Notamacropus eugenii: one gene and its partner. The protein of the gene in region 2 binds, or shares a complex with, the protein of the main gene of each other region. Links are inferred from orthologs where the notes say so. Each region holds a gene or a part of one and is shown on either strand. Other genes may lie near its edges.

Region 1 (6,914 bases), on a different chromosome or scaffold from region 2:
TCCAGTTAGATGTCTGATCCATGGGGTGGGCTGTGGGTATAGAAACTGGTCTTGGGAATGGACCTTAATCATGCTCCCATCCACAGTGACCCTAAGTCTGGATCTGCGGAGGAGAATTAGGACCTCCAGGCATCTTGGATACTGTTACCCCTGTTGGCCCCATCTTTGGATTCATTTATGAAGCTCCTACCATGTCAACCATTGGGGACACATGGACAAAAACAGGAAAGTCTCAGTCTTCAATGAACTATTCCACTGAGGATAATGGAATTATTAATATTGTTCCATCAATTGACAAATTTATTAATCATTTTTTATGTTCTGGTCACTGCTATGTTATTGGAGATACAAAGGCTAGAAGTGAGGCAAGCCCTGCTCAAATTGTTGGGGAAACACATCCAGATAGACAGGTGTCCCAAAAGTCTTAGTGCAGTTTTAACCGAGTAAAACTTTAAAATGTCACCCAGACTTTTGGGGTACCCTGTATAGCAGGGGATTCTGGGATACAAGGTGGTTGGATGTGGGGGAAGGGTGAGGCAGAAAGTATAAGTTGGGGTGACTAGCAGAGACATCTGGGAGAACATGGCATGTGAAAAAAGGGTGAGGAGGTAGAATTTTCCAGGTAGGGAAGACAGCCTGGGTAAAAACCGATCATTGGAGTTGGGGGTTATGTCTGGACCAACCAGAAAGCCAGTTTGGGGCTGAAAAGGTAGGTTAGATCCAGTCTGTAAAGAGTGAGATTGACTGATTTCTGGGGGTAATAGGGAGCCATATAAGTTGCTGGAGTAATAGCAGCTACTCAGATCAATAAATAATTGGAATCAGGAAAACTATAGATTGGTTAAGTGCTGATTATATGCCAGCCACTGTGCTAAATGTTTTACAAGTATCTCATTTTTATCTTCACAAAGGCTTCTTATGAGGTGAAGGTCAATTGGAAGTAAGTCCTAAGCATGCAGGATAGATAGAGCCTTTGCAAAGACTGGAGAGAGATTATCCAATTCCAGGGAAAGTGTAGAACAGGTCATTTTGTCTGGAATGGAGGGTTTGGACAGAGGATGCAAAAACAAGTAGACTGGGCTAGTTGGGAAAGATGTTCAACCCGAGGAATGTATATTTCATCCCAGAATTCGGAATTAGGGAACCAGTGGAGTCCTAGTGATTATCTTTAAGACATGGAGGGAGGTTTAGAGGCTGGAGGCAGGGAGGCCAGTGAGGAGGCTATCGTAATAGCCCTGAGACTGGTCTTTTTTTAAAAGGACCAATGACATCCCAGAGTGATGACCCCCACGTGAATTGGATTTAAGTGAAGCAGACAGGCACAAAGTGGTCAACCATACTCCCTGAGTTGTCGGGGTCCAGGGGCAGGACAAAAATCGAGAAGACAAGCAGTGACCAAGCTCTTAAGTGCTCCACTTCATCTTTAGAACAAATTGTTATCCCGCCATTGTTCAGGGAAGTCTTATTTCCCACAGCTGAGTTTCACGGTACCTGCTTCTTGGGGATTGGGGGGGAGCGGAGTTTTCACGTACTTGGGGTGGACATTCTGACTCCCTGATGCGATTGAAGCCCATCACTGACCCTCAGCCTGGTTTAACCTATTTGCTGAGATGGCTTTACCGGGATGTGGCTCCTCTACATGCTTCTTGGTGTCACAAGTGACAGTTGAGTGGCAGGTGGGCACCAAAGGTGGATGGATGAATGGCCACTTGGCAAGTCCTCGCCCCAGAGGATGCTCATCCTCTTTAGACATGCCAGACTTCATATAGGTTTGAACTGGTGTCATTGGGTGAAGAGGGGCGCCCCTGAGAGATGGAGAAGTACAATGGCCAACTAAACAGATGTGAGGCGTCCAGTGGGTGGGGGAACATGGCGGATTCATAGAGGACTTAGAGCCTGGGAAACTGGAAGACAACAGGACTGAGTTGGATCCATAGAAAGTGGGTAGGAAGAGGAAAGAAAATGAGATTTTCAATAAGTATGAGATCTGTGCTCTGGGCAAACTTGGTCGTAGGGATCTTTCCTTTGCGCGTGCACAATATGTGCTTTGCTATCTATAAAGTAAAGATAATTGTTCGTCCCTGGAAAGAACCTTAGAGGTTGGGTCAGAGGCCCTGAACTTCTGTTCCCTACAGACCTGCCCCTGAGGTCTCTTCTAGGTCCGGATCCTAGGAAACCTCAGGGGAATTGGGTGATAGACGCTGGAGGCCAGGCATGGTGGAGATACTGAGCAGGAGCAGAGCATTGTCACACCCGCTACGGGACTTCTGGGTAGACTTGGAGGGGGCCGTTTCATTTGGCTGGGGGCGGTAGAAGCCAGATTGCACAGGACTGATCAGACAGTGGGAGGCTCTTAGAGGGCAGAAGTTTTTGGAGTTTGGCTGTGAAAGGAGGGAGGAGAGATTGGAAGCTGATAGCTTGAGGGAGTGGAGCTGTCAAGTGGAAAGTTCTGAAGCTGAGAGGACTGTGGAGAATTTGTTGATGGCTGAGAGGGAGGAGCCTGGAGAGGGTGGGGCTTGAATGGGGCACTCTCGAGGGGGCCGGGTGGGTCCTTCAGAGGGGAAGATGGGATCAGATAAAATCCCTGAGGAGAATGAAGGAGGGCTGGGGTAGAAAAGAAGGAAGATCTTATTTTGTACAAAGAGGAGGCCCTCTGCTGAGTGGGGGTGGGCAGGAGGAGAAGCCCTGGCATCCTGGGAGGCTGAAGGAGGTTTTGAACAGTCAATTAAAGACGAATAGAGAGATCAGATGCCAGCAGAGGGAGCCTAATGGGGATTAGATAACATAAATTTGATCCTTGGCCTGGGAGTCAAGAATTTTTCCTTGGTTCTATCACGTTTAGGCTCTGGGTCTGACGGAAGGGATCTGGGAGGTGGCTGGGCAAGAGGGAGATTCTTGGGGGAAGGAGGGTGGGTTTGGTCTTTATGACCCTGTGTGTGAAGAGCAGAATTCAATACTCCTTGCCTGCCCTTGGACCAATGGGAAGACCCTGGAATGCCTTCCCCTTTTCTAACCGAGAAATAGGAGAACTCTTGTCCTTGAAGGCGAAACCCATCTGCCATCTCTGGCCCATCTTCAAACACATACTGGTATATATTCCATTTTTCTCCCCCAAACTGCCTTCTTTATGGTTTTTCCTCTGGATTTTACTTTACGGATGGTATTCATCCATTTCACTTAGAATCCGCTGTGGACTGAGCTCTGGGAAGGTGGGGAAAACGTACCGATTACCGACAGTAAAAGGTGGGAGAGGGGGATCAGCACTGGAAAGAGCCCCTGGGGACCTGGATGCAGCTCTTGGGAAGCACTTTGGGGTCTTTGGCCCTTCTCCCATTCTGAGCCCCTAAAATGAGGACGTTGGGCCTGTGACCTCTGTATTTGGGTGGGAGGGAGGTTTCACACTCAGACGAGGGGGTGGGTCGGCGTGCTCCACCAGGAATCTAGTGCCCTGTGGCCCCAAGTCCGCCCCTGCCCTTATTGGAGAGGGGGAGGGTCCGTCGAACCGAGTAAGTTGGGAGAGCGGAGCTGGGGGTCTGTTCTGGGCCTGTTCTCTGCCCCCCTTCCCCAGCCACACCGTCTGGAGGCTGGATCACCCCACCTGGGTGTGGCCTGGACCACCCTGCCCAGACCGATCCTCGCGGAGCCCTTCCACTCCGAGGCAGCCTCCTAGGGTTCCTGGACGTGGCTTTGCGTGGCCCCCGGGACGCGCGTGGGGCCCGCCTCCTCACCCCGGTACTTCCACCCCTTCCAGATGGGCCAGCCGGGGGGGCGTGGCCCCGAGGCTTTGGCTAGGGTATTGGCTGAACCCCAGCGTTACGAGGCCCGGGGCGTGGCCTAGGGAGTTTCGAGGGGGCGTGACGGGGGCGGGCACTCCGGGGGCGGGGCCGAGCGGAGCCGGAGCTGGGGCAGCCTCTGGCGGAGGAGGGCCCGGGGCCTGGCGCTGGCTGGGCGGCTGAGGGGCCCGGCAGCAGCAGCCGCAGCAGCAGCAGCAGCAGCCGCAGCAGCAGCAGCCGCAGCCGCAGCCGCAGCCGCAGCCGCAGCGGCCCCCTCCCAGCTCCCAGCCCCCGGCCTCCCGGGCCCCCGATGGAGCTGCACATCCTGGAGCACCGGGTCCGGGTGCTGAGCATCGCGCGCCCCGGACTCTGGCTCTACACGCACCCGCTTGTCAAGCTGCTCTTCCTGCGCCAGCGGAGCCGGTAAGGCTGAGGCCAGAGGAGGGGGCCCCTCCCCCAGCTCGGGCTCTGGGTGGGTCTGGGGGTAAGGCTGGGGACCACCTCGCTCCCTCTCGCCTTCCAGCCCCACTATCGCCTTCGATTCCCGAGCCACCTCGGCAGGCCCTTATTATCCCCACTGTACAGAAGGGGCCACTGAGATGCGGAGAGACTGTAGTGACTTGTCCAGAGACGCCCCGAAGCCGCCCCTCCCCACCCCCCAGCTTGCTTGGACTTGTCCTTGTTCTTAGACTCGCTGTATTAACGGGGGCGGGGCGGGGGGAGGTGTTGAACGTCACTGCCTTCATGGTGGCTCTTCCAGCCCACTTGGGGCATTCTGTGAAGTCTGAGTTCAGGCACCACCTGGGCTGCATGGTAGCGGGCTGACCTTCCTTGGGCCTCACTTTGCTCTCCGGTAAAATGAGGGAGTGGGCCGCTGTGAGCTGTTCTAATCTCTAAGGGGCCTCTCAGCTCCAGCATTCTTTGGGTCAGTGGGTCAGAGGGATGAGTACCAGCAGGGGTCACCCTCGCCAGCTCTTGGGAAATTGCTTGGGAAGTGGTTCCTTCCCCTGCACTAGTAGCCAAAGGACTGGCTTGTATGCCTCCTTCCCCAGGATGGGGATTCTGGGGTGAGCTTAGGGAACAGCCGGTATCCCCTGTACCCATCATTCCCCTTCACCCTCTCCTCATGGGCAAGGGTTTCCAGAGGACCCAATCGGTTCTGCTTGACTGGAGCCTGGGCAGAGTCCACTCACTTTCTTTGAGTCTGGCCCTTCCTTTGCCATTCCTCCCTCCCCTCTGCCTCTGGACTTTGGGATCCAGGGGGGATGAGGGAGTGCCTTGCCTTGGCTCATGGAGTGGTCCCTTTTCCTTAGGTGCAAGTTTTTCAGCCTGACAGAAACCCCTGAAGATTACACCCTAATGCTGGATGAAGAAGGATACCAAGGTACTGGGTTCCAGTTTCTCCTCCTGGTCTCCTGAGGCCCTCTCCCCCAGACTCTTCCAAGGGGCACCCCTTGGCTGGCCTGTGTGGGCCAGGCACACACTGTCATCAGAATGCTTAAGACAGGTGGACCGGGGCTGGGGCAGGAGAGAAGGGTGGATGCAGCAGGGCCCAGTAAAATGGATCTGAGCAGCACCTGGGTCCCTGCCCCAGCTATCCCAGAATGGACTGGAAGTACCCTGGAGAGGGGGTGAGCCACAGTGTCCAGGACGTTCTGGGGCAGCCTTGTGGTACCTGTTCCCTTTGGATCTCAGTTCTGCTGTGGCTTTGTGATACTGGCTAAGTCACTTTCCTTTCCCAAGATTGCAGTTTCCTTTTTAGTAAAATATTAATAATAGCACACAGCTATGGGGAGCTTTAAGAGAGCGCAAAGCACTTTACCCACCAGACTCCATGTCCTGTGCCCCCTTGGGGCACGTTGGCACTGGAAGGTTCTGATAATTGCTGTTTTCAGAGGTCCCCCACATCCACCTCTGCTCCCTCCACTCCAGGGTGACATCTTGCAATCAATCCAGTATCAGCTGAGGGCCTGGGAGGTCTGGGGGGTAAATGGGAACCAGCAGGTGATGGAGACAGATGAAATGCAAGATTTTCCAAGTCTGGACCCAACACGTGGGCTAGATGTGGTGTAGATGAGCCTGATCCCTCCACTGGAAGCTGCCTGCCTTCCCCCCCCTTTCTATTTCCTGTTGTGACCTCAGAGACAGGGCCTAGGGCCTAGTGCTTGGGGGTGCTGCTTGCCCTGTGCCTTCTGCCTGGCTTAACTTCCCCACAAGGGGCCCATCCAGGAGCAGGCCCTAGGTGCCCAGGCTCTCAGTCCCAGGCACTGACCACAAATGAAGTCAGGAGAAGAATGACAAGATCTAGAGTGAAGAGAACTTCCAAAGGCATCCGGTGCAAACCTTTCTGTTTACAAATGAGGAAACTGACACCCTAAGTTGGAAAGGGACATGCCCAAGGTCTCACAGGGAATTCCCTGGGGCAGAGCTGAGATCTGAACCCAGGTGCTCTGTTCATCTCTCTCTTATCAGTTGCAAAGTAGTAGTGATTCCATAAACTTATCAAGCACATGCTCTACTACTAAAGGGGTTATAAAGACAAAAATAAAACATCTGCCCTCTGAGGAATTTATATTGTACGGGGGGAGGTTAGCACATAGTAATGATAATTAACGTTTATAATGCTATTTAAGGTTGGTGAAGTATTTTTTCCTTTTTTTTTTTTTTTGAGGCGATCGAGGTTAGATGACTTGGCCAGGGTAACACCTCTAGTTAGCGTCTGATACCAGATTAGAACTGAGGTCCTCGGAACTCCAGAGCAGGATACTGTATCCACTGTGTCACCTAGCTGCCCCACAAAATATCTTTTTACTTTGATTTGATGTACACAGTGAAGTAAATGCAAAGCAATGCAAGTTATTTCAAGAGGTAGAACTCACAGCCATGGGGATATATTGTATCCATTGCTGCTTTGGTGGATAATATAGGTCAGTTTTGTTACTGTTGCCATTTTTACTATGCTGACTTTACCTAGTCACGAACATTGACTCTCTCCAGTTACTGGGAAAATGAGTATAGTTGGCCTTTTCTAAGTCTGCTCTTTCAGGGTCTGGTCTGTTTTGCCGTGCTTGTGACTTGTCTTCTAGCCCTCTTCAGGCTGGGGATTTGGGTCCCTGGAGTCCTGCTCAGGTTACTGGTATG
Region 2 (7,889 bases):
GGAGGCTTGGGAATGACTCTGCCCTCTGCTGTGATCATGTTTATTAACTTTTTGGTCACCATGACGGATTTGGCTTTCTGGTGTTTAAGTAAATGTTTTTCTTCTGCCTTCTATGTGGAGAGTCTATACTTGGTGATTGAGAACTATGCTGATATGTTCATGGTCACCACCAGTGCTGTGAATATTGCCTTGGTGATACACAGGGTGGGACAGTGACTGTTCTGGGGGAGACAAGGTCCAGATTAGGGAGATGGTATACACAGAGCAGGAGAAGGCAGGAGAACAAGGAGTCACCCAATTTGACTGAAGCATAAAAAGAATATGTAGGGGGAAATTATAGGTTGGAGCTAGATTTTGAGGAGCCTTGAATGTCAAACCAAGGAGTTCCTATTTTGATAAGTAATAGGGAGCCAGGAAGGTTATTGAGCAAAAGGGTAACATCAGTTACTTAGTCAAGAAACATTCATTAAAACTCCCTCTGCCAAGTACTGAGGAGACAGTCCCCTTCCTCTAGGAATGTCATTATTATGGGGGAGTCATAAATGGAGGTGAATAGAACCATAGACCTGGATATGGAGCAAGGAGAAGGCAGTCTCAGCACCTCCTGCAATACGTGTGTTTTTTGAGTTGGGTCTTGGAGGGAAATAGAGGCAGAGATGAAGAGGGAGATCACCTGTCACCAAGGTAGCTGGGCAATTAACAAGATAATCTTGGGATCTGAGCACAGGGTGGGCTGGGAGGAGGGAGGGGAGAGACCAGAGGTAGGGAGACTTAGTGGAAGGCTGCTCCTGTCCTGGAGGAAAGAGGTAGGGAAGCGGAGGGAAGCATCTTGGGAAAGGACAGAGTACCCCCACCCCCAACCTCCACTGGAAGTCCCTCTTCCTTCCATCCTCAAGGTCCCTCAGAGCCCAGGCTGGAAGGGTTTGCCGACAGGCAGCATCCCAGTGATTCTGGCCAGCCCAGAGGACCAGTGCAGGGGGGAGTGGGGGAGGGGAGTGAGGAAGGGGGGGCTGAAGACTGGCCACAGCATCTGCCACCAAGACCTGTCCAGCAGTAGGGGCACTTGAGAGGTGGGGCCAGCTTCCTCGAACACCTGTCTTACTGAAGAAGGGTCCCCCCGCCCCTTGTGCTGTTTCATTAAGGCCCACCTCTCATTGTTTGGCTGATGCATATCCTAGCCTTGGCCCCCTGGCTCTCCCTTCTCTGAACTGGGTCCTGAGCTCCGGCTGGCCAGCCTGAGCACGTCTCCAAAGGCCAAGAGCCTTCCCATTATTCCCACCAATTGCCCCTGACCAGGGCTAGGCTGGGCCATCTTGGAATGGATTGGGCACCACCTAGTGGGCATTGACTGAAGGGCCAAGTCTGAGTCTGATATGGTGGAGGGTTCTGGGTCGGGAGGCCCCCCACCCCAACCCCCACCCCCAGGGCTCAGAAGGCCCAAGAACAGGCAGGCAGCAAAAGGAGGCTGGAATGGAGGGAACCTCGCCTGGCTGCGCTGGTGAGGCCTCCTTCCATTCAGTCATTCTGCTCTTAGGGACATTTATGGAGCACCTGCTGTGTGCCTTGCATTGGGCTAGATTCCAGAGTGGAGTGGGTGGGGTATGAGTGTGAGTTTGTGTGTCTGTGTGAGTGTGTGTGAGTGTGAGTGTGTGTGAGTGTGAGTGTATCTGTGTGTGTCTGTGAGTGTGTGAGTGTGTGTGTCTGTGTGAGTGTGTCTGTGTGTGAGTGTGACTGTGTGTAGTGAGTGTGTGTGTGTTTGTGTGTTAGTGTGTGTGTGTGTGTGTGTCTGTGTATGTGAATGTGTGTCTGTGTGTGTGACTGTGTTTGTAGTGAGTGTATGTATGTGTGAGTGTGTGAGTGTGTGTGTGAGTTTGTGTGTTAGTGTGTGTGTGTGAGTCTGTGTGTGTGACTGTGTGAGTGTGTTTGTGTGTATGTGTGTGACTGTGTGTGTGTGACTGTGTGTGTGTGTTTGTGTGTGTGTGTGTGACTGTGTGTGAGTGTGTGTCGTGTGTGTCTGTGACTGTGTGTGAGTGTGTGTGTCTGTGTGTGAGTGTGTGTGACTGTGTGTGAGTGTGTGTGTCTGTGTGAGTCTGTGTGTGTGTGTGACTGTGTGTGAGTGTGTGTGACTGTGTGTGAGTGTGTGTCGTGTGTGTGTCTGTGTCTGTGTGTGAGTGTGTGTCGTGTGTGTGTCTGTGTCTGTGTGTGAGTGTGTGTGTCTGTGTGTGACTGTGTGTGACTGTGTGTGTGTCTGTGTCTCTGTGTGAGTGTGTGTGAGTGTGTGTGAGTGTGTGTGACTGTGTGTGAGTGTGTGTCGTGTGTGTGTCTGTGTCTGTGTGTGAGTGTGTGTGTCTGTGTGTGACTGTGTGTGACTGTGTGGGTGTCTGTGTCTGTGTGTGAGTGTGTGTGACTGTGTGTGTGTGTCTGTGTGTGTCTGTGTCTGTGTGTGTCTGTGTCTGTGTGTGAGTGTGTGTGACTGTGTGTGAGTGTGTGTGACTGTGTGTCGTGTCTGTGTCTGTGTGTGAGTGTGTGTGACTGTGAGTGAGTGTGTGTGACTGTGTGTGAGTGTGTGTGACTGTGTGTGAGTGTGTGTCGTGTGTGTCTGTGTCTGTGTCTGTGTGTGAGTGTGTGTGACTGTGTGTGAGTGTGTGACTGTGTGTGAGTGTGTGTCGTGTGTGTGTCTGTGTCTGTGTGTGAGTGTGTGTGTCTGTGTGTGACTGTGTGTGACTGTGTGTGTCTGTGTCTGTGTGTGAGTGTGTGTCGTGTCTGTGTCTGTGTGTGAGTGTGTGTGAGTGTGTGTCTGTGTGTGACTGTGTGTGAGTGTGTGTCGTGTGTGTCTGCGTCTGTGTCTGTGTGTGTGTGTGTGACTGTGTGTGAGTGTGTGTTGTGTGTGTCTGTGTGTGTCTGTGTCTGTGTGTGAGTGTGTGTGACTGTGAGTGTGTGTGACTGTGTGTGAGTGTGTGTGACTGTGTGTGAGTGTGTGTCGTGTGTGTCTGTGTGTCTGTGTGTGTCTGTGTCTGTGTCTGTGTGTGAGTGTGTGTGACTGTGAGTGAGTGTGTGTGACTGTGTGTGAGTGTGTGTGACTGTGTGTGAGTGTGTGTCGTGTGTGTCTGTGTCTGTGTCTGTATGTGAGTGTGTGTGTCTGTGTGAGTCTGAGTGTGAGTGTGTGTGACTGTGAGTGAGTGTGTGTGACTGTGTGTGAGTGTGTGTGACTGTGTGTGAGTGTGTGTCGTGTGTGTGTCTGTGTCTGTGTGTGTGTGACTGTGTGTGAGTGTGTGTGACTGTGTGTGAGTGTGTGTCGTGTGTGTGTCTGTGTCTGTGTGTGAGTGTGTGTGTCTGTGTGTGACTGTGTGTGTGTCTGTGTCTGTGTGTGAGTGTGTGTGACTGTGTGTGAGTGTGTGTGACTGTGAGTGAGTGTGTGTGTCTGTGTCAGTGAGTCTGTGTGTGTGTGACTGTGTGTGACTGTGTGTGTGTCTGTGTGTGAGTGTGTGTGACTGTGTGTGTGTGTCGTGTGTGTGTCTGTGTCTGTGTGTGTGTGTGTGTGAGTGTGTGTCGTGTGTGTGTCTGTGTCTGTGTGTGAGTGTGTGTGACTGTGTGTGAGTGTGTGTCGTGTCTGTGTCTGTGTGTGAGTGTGTGTGTCTGTGTGTGTGTGTCTGTCTGTGTGTGTGTGTGAGTGTGTGTGAGTGTGTGTGACTGTGTGTGAGTGTGTGTCGTGTGTGTGTCTGTGTCTGTGTGTGAGTGTGTGTCGTGTGTGTGTCTGTGTCTGTGTGTGAGTGTGTGTGTCTGTGTGTGAGTGTGTGTGTCTGTGTGTGACTGTGTGTGACTGTGTGTGTGTCTGTGTCTCTGTGTGAGTGTGTGTGACTGTGTGTGAGTGTGTGACTGTGTGTGAGTGTGTGTGACTGTGTGTGAGTGTGTGTCGTGTGTGTCTGTGTCTGTGTGTGTGTGTCTGTGTCTGTGTGTGAGTGTGTGTGTCTGTGTGTGACTGTGTGTGTGTCTGTGTCTGTGTGTGAGTGTGTGTGACTGTGTGTGAGTGTGTGTGACTGTGTGTGAGTGTGTGTCGTGTGTGTCTGTGTGTCTGTGTGTGTCTGTGTCTGTGTCTGTGTGTGAGTGTGTGTGACTGTGTGTGTGTCTGTGTCTGTGTGTGAGTGTGTGTGACTGTGTGTGTGTGTCGTGTGTGTGTCTGTGTCTGTGTGTGTCTGTGTCTGTGTGTGAGTGTGTGTGACTGTGAGTGAGTGTGTGTGACTGTGTGTGAGTGTGTGTCGTGTCTGTGTCTGTGTGTGAGTGTGTGTGACTGTGAGTGAGTGTGTGTGACTGTGAGTGAGTGTGTGTCGTGTCTGTGTCTGTGTGTGAGTGTGTGTGACTGTGAGTGAGTGTGTGTGACTGTGTGTGAGTGTGTGTGACTGTGAGTGAGTGTGTGTGACTGTGTGTGAGTGTGTGTGACTGTGTGTGAGTGTGTGTCGTGTGTGTCTGTGTCTGTGTCTGTGTGTGTCGTGGGGAGGAGGCCACTCTGGCTGGAGGCAGGGGAAGGAGGGGGAAACTGACGCCGAGCTCGAGACCCCCCTCCCAGCCCAGACCTTCCTTGGGCTGGGGGTCACACGGTCCCCCACCCTCCCCAGCAGTAACAAGAGAACGAGGGGGGAAGGGATGGTGCGGGGACGGGCCTGGGGCGAGGGGCGGGACGGTAGGCAGGGCCTGAAGCGAAGGGTAGTGATGCTGAGTCCGTAGGGGGCGGGGCCTGGAGGGAGGGGCGGGCCTGGAGGGAGGGGCGGGGCCCGGTGGGGCGGGCACAAGTCCAGGTTCTGCCCCAACTCACGAGAACCAGAAAGAGAAGTGGGAAGTGGGCATGCGCAGAAAGGCGGGGGTGGAGGCGGGCGCGCATGCCCGATGACTTTCTCTGGCCCACGCGGCTTCCGTAGTGGGCTGGGCGCGTGCGCAGAGGCCCCGCCAGAGGCCGCCGGACGGAGTGGAGTCCTCCCGGGGCTCCTGCGCCAGGTGAGTCCGCAAGGTGCCCGGGGCTCTGATGGGGCCGCTGCAGGGCCTTCTGGAGCCAGCGCTTCCTCCCTGGGGCGGGGTGGGGGCAGGGCCCGGGGAGAGAGGCGTGGGGCGCGGCTGCTCCCTCCCATCCCGGGCTCCCCCGGTCCGTGCTCCTTGTCTCCCGCCACCGGACCCTTGGTTCTCTCGGGCCCATGCCGTCCCCTGTAATTCTGAACTTGAGTAAAGGCTCAAGGAGATGGAACTGGGACTGGAACCAACACTAAGTATGCACCTGCTGTGTGCCACGCACAGGTGAGGAGCCGGGCCCGAGGCCAGGCTTGTCCTGACCCTCCAGATGACCCTCAGGTGGGAGGGAGGGGGTCACTGGGGAGTGGCAGGTGGTGGGGGCCACTCTGACCGCAGGCTCGTTTTCTGCCCAGGATTTCCCGCAGGACCTCATCGGGAGGCCAGCCGTCATGAGTGGGTCCAAGCCAGACATCCTGTGGGCACCGCACCAGGTGGACAGATTCGTGGTGTGTGACTCGGAGCTGAGCCTGTACCAGGTGGAGCCAGCGGGCAGCTCCGAGCTCAAAGCCGGCTCCTTGAGGTTGTCGGAGGACACAGCGGCCACCTTGTTGTCCATCAACTCGGACACTCCCTACATGAAGTGCGTGGCCTGGTACCTCAGCTACGACCCCGAGTGTCTGCTGGCTGTGGGCCAGGCCAACGGCCGCGTGGTTCTCACCAGTCTGGGCCAGGACCACAACTCCAAGTTCAAGGATTTGATAGGAAAGGAGTTTGTCCCCAAACATGCCCGGCAGTGCAACACCCTGGCCTGGAACCCGCTGGACAGTAACTGGCTCGCCGCTGGCCTAGACAAACATCGGGCTGACTTCTCTGTGCTGATCTGGGATATCTGTAGCAAGTACAGCCCGGAAACGACAGTTCCTTTGGAGAAAGTGAGGCTTTCAGCAGGAGACACTGAGGCAGGGCTGGTGGTGACAAAGCCTCTTTATGAACTGGGACAGAATGACGCTTGTCTGTCTCTCTGCTGGCTGCCCCGAGACCAAAAACTTCTCCTTGCTGGCATGCATAGGAACCTGGCTATATTCGACCTTCGGAACACGAGCCAAAAGATGTTTGTGAACACCAAAGCTGTCCAGGGAGTGATGGTGGACCCCCACTTCCACGACCGCGTGGCTTCTTTCTACGAAGGTCAGGTGGCCATCTGGGACCTTAGGAAATTTGAGAAGCCCGTTCTGACCCTGACAGAGCAGCCCAAGCCTCTCACTAAAGTCGCCTGGTGCCCCACAAGGACGGGGCTGCTGGCCACCCTCACGAGGGACAGCGACATCATCAGGCTGTATGACATGCAGCACACACCCACACCCATCGGAGACGAAACCGAACCGACCATCATCGAGCGCAGTGTGCAGCCCTGCGACAATTACATTGCTTCCTTCGCCTGGCATCCGACCAGCCAGAATCGAATGATCGTGGTGACGCCCAACCGAATCATGTCAGACTTCACCGTGTTTGAACGCATCTCCCTTGCCTGGAGTCCAGTCACCTCCTTAATGTGGGCCTGTGGCCGTCATCTCTATGAGTGCACCGAAGAGGGGAGCGATCCTTCTTTAGAAAAAGACATTGCCACCAAGATGCGCCTCCGGGCTTTGTCCCGCTACGGCCTTGATACCGAGCAGGTCTGGAGAAACCACGTATTAGCTGGAAACGAGGACCCTCAACTAAAATCACTCTGGTATACTCTGTACTATATCCTTTGAAATGAAAACCCTGACAGCGTGAGGGCCAGCGGAGATTGGCAGTGTGCTGTCTAGAGAAGTGCCTTGTATCTGGCGGACGGGGGCCTCCCCAGCTGCTTTTAGTGTGTGGGAGGGAGAGAGGGGTCTGGATAAGGCATTAGAGTGGCCTTAGCCCAGACACCAGTTCTGTCTTGATTGGCCCTCATTCAAAAGGAAACTTCCTCCAAGCCAGCCTTAGTATTTCCTATGCATTTCAATACTTATGAAGCAGTACACTGAAGATTTGGACCCGAAATCTCTAGGCCACAAAGGGTCACTGGTGTATGCAGGTATTAAAACCATCGTGAAGTCATCCTTGGGTAAGGACGGCCCTTTCTCTTACAAATATATTTAACCATTTTGGAGTGTTCTTTACACAGTGGGTAACATGGTGGGGTTTGATGTATCTATTTCAGTAAATGATACTGAGTTAACGATTTGGTTAGGATTTCTTCTCAAGTAACCTTTTGCGGGGAGGTGGTAGCTGGTGGGTCTTCCCTTCGACTTGAACCATTGAAACCCTCGGTTCTTGGTGGGCCCAAGCTGAGGCTCCCTTAGTTGGGGCTGGATGAGCTCCTTTGGAACTAGCCTTGCCAGGAACCCCCCCTGAAGGCAAGCATTTTCCTAAGCTCTCTGCCCTGCCCCCACCTTCCCTTCCTTCACCATGTTGGCTGTCAGGGCAGAGCCTGAAACAGGAAAGTCATTTTCTACCTGAGAATTTTAAAATTATTTTCCTTTTGTATTAAGAGTGAGACTTTTCATTTAATCCCGAGGATTTAACCTTTATGAAGAGAGACAGTATGTCAGTACACAGAGAAGCAGGAAGTCCTGGGTTCAAGTCCTGCTCCTGATACAGGCTGAGCAAGTGTCCTCATTTCTTGGTGCCCCCAGGGGTGGGGGAAGCTTCCTAGCTGCCTTATTTATTTACCTTTTTTACATCAGTGAAATAATTAGTTTGTTGTGAAAAAGTTTTATTTTCAAACAGCTGTCCTGTGCCCCCCACCCCATGCCCATGTGACTTCACCACAGAAGGAACTGATGGCTCACTCAGGCAGACCCTCAAACCCTCAAGCTCATGGGGTGCCGGGACCTCGCCCTCGGACAGCAGCTGGGCAT

The links.
Region 1: the proteins of MIOS (region 2) and CASTOR1 are in contact, whole or in part, in a cryo-EM structure (PDB 9LVK), measured with the Homo sapiens proteins. The link is inferred for Notamacropus eugenii from reciprocal best matches to the Homo sapiens genes MIOS and CASTOR1. Residues at the interface, in NP_001357005.1 of Homo sapiens: Ala83, Asn84, Val109, Pro110, Lys111, His112, Ala113, Arg114, Asp134, Lys135, His136, Arg137, Asn184; in NP_001032755.1 of Homo sapiens: Val94, Ser116, Thr117, Tyr118, Gln119, Thr120, Asp121, Thr188, Tyr236, Leu255, Thr256, Ser257, Ser258, Ala295, Tyr296.

What each region holds. Positions count from the first base shown.
Region 1 is NC_092875.1:15,130,544-15,137,457, forward strand, and holds the start of CASTOR1 (cytosolic arginine sensor for mTORC1 subunit 1), read left to right. Parts: upstream 1-3,901; 5' UTR 3,902-4,083; coding exon 4,084-4,196; intron 4,197-5,086; coding exon 5,087-5,157; intron 5,158-6,914. UniProt on the Homo sapiens protein: Functions as an intracellular arginine sensor within the amino acid-sensing branch of the TORC1 signaling pathway. As a homodimer or a heterodimer with CASTOR2, binds and inhibits the GATOR subcomplex GATOR2 and thereby mTORC1.
Region 2 is NC_092874.1:2,061,043-2,068,931, forward strand, and holds the start of MIOS (GATOR2 complex protein MIOS), read left to right. Parts: upstream 1-4,881; coding exon 4,882-4,989; intron 4,990-5,210; exon of another isoform or gene 5,211-5,283; intron 5,284-5,411; coding exon 5,412-6,744; intron 6,745-6,994; coding exon 6,995-7,093; intron 7,094-7,889. UniProt on the Homo sapiens protein: As a component of the GATOR2 complex, functions as an activator of the amino acid-sensing branch of the mTORC1 signaling pathway. The GATOR2 complex indirectly activates mTORC1 through the inhibition of the GATOR1 subcomplex.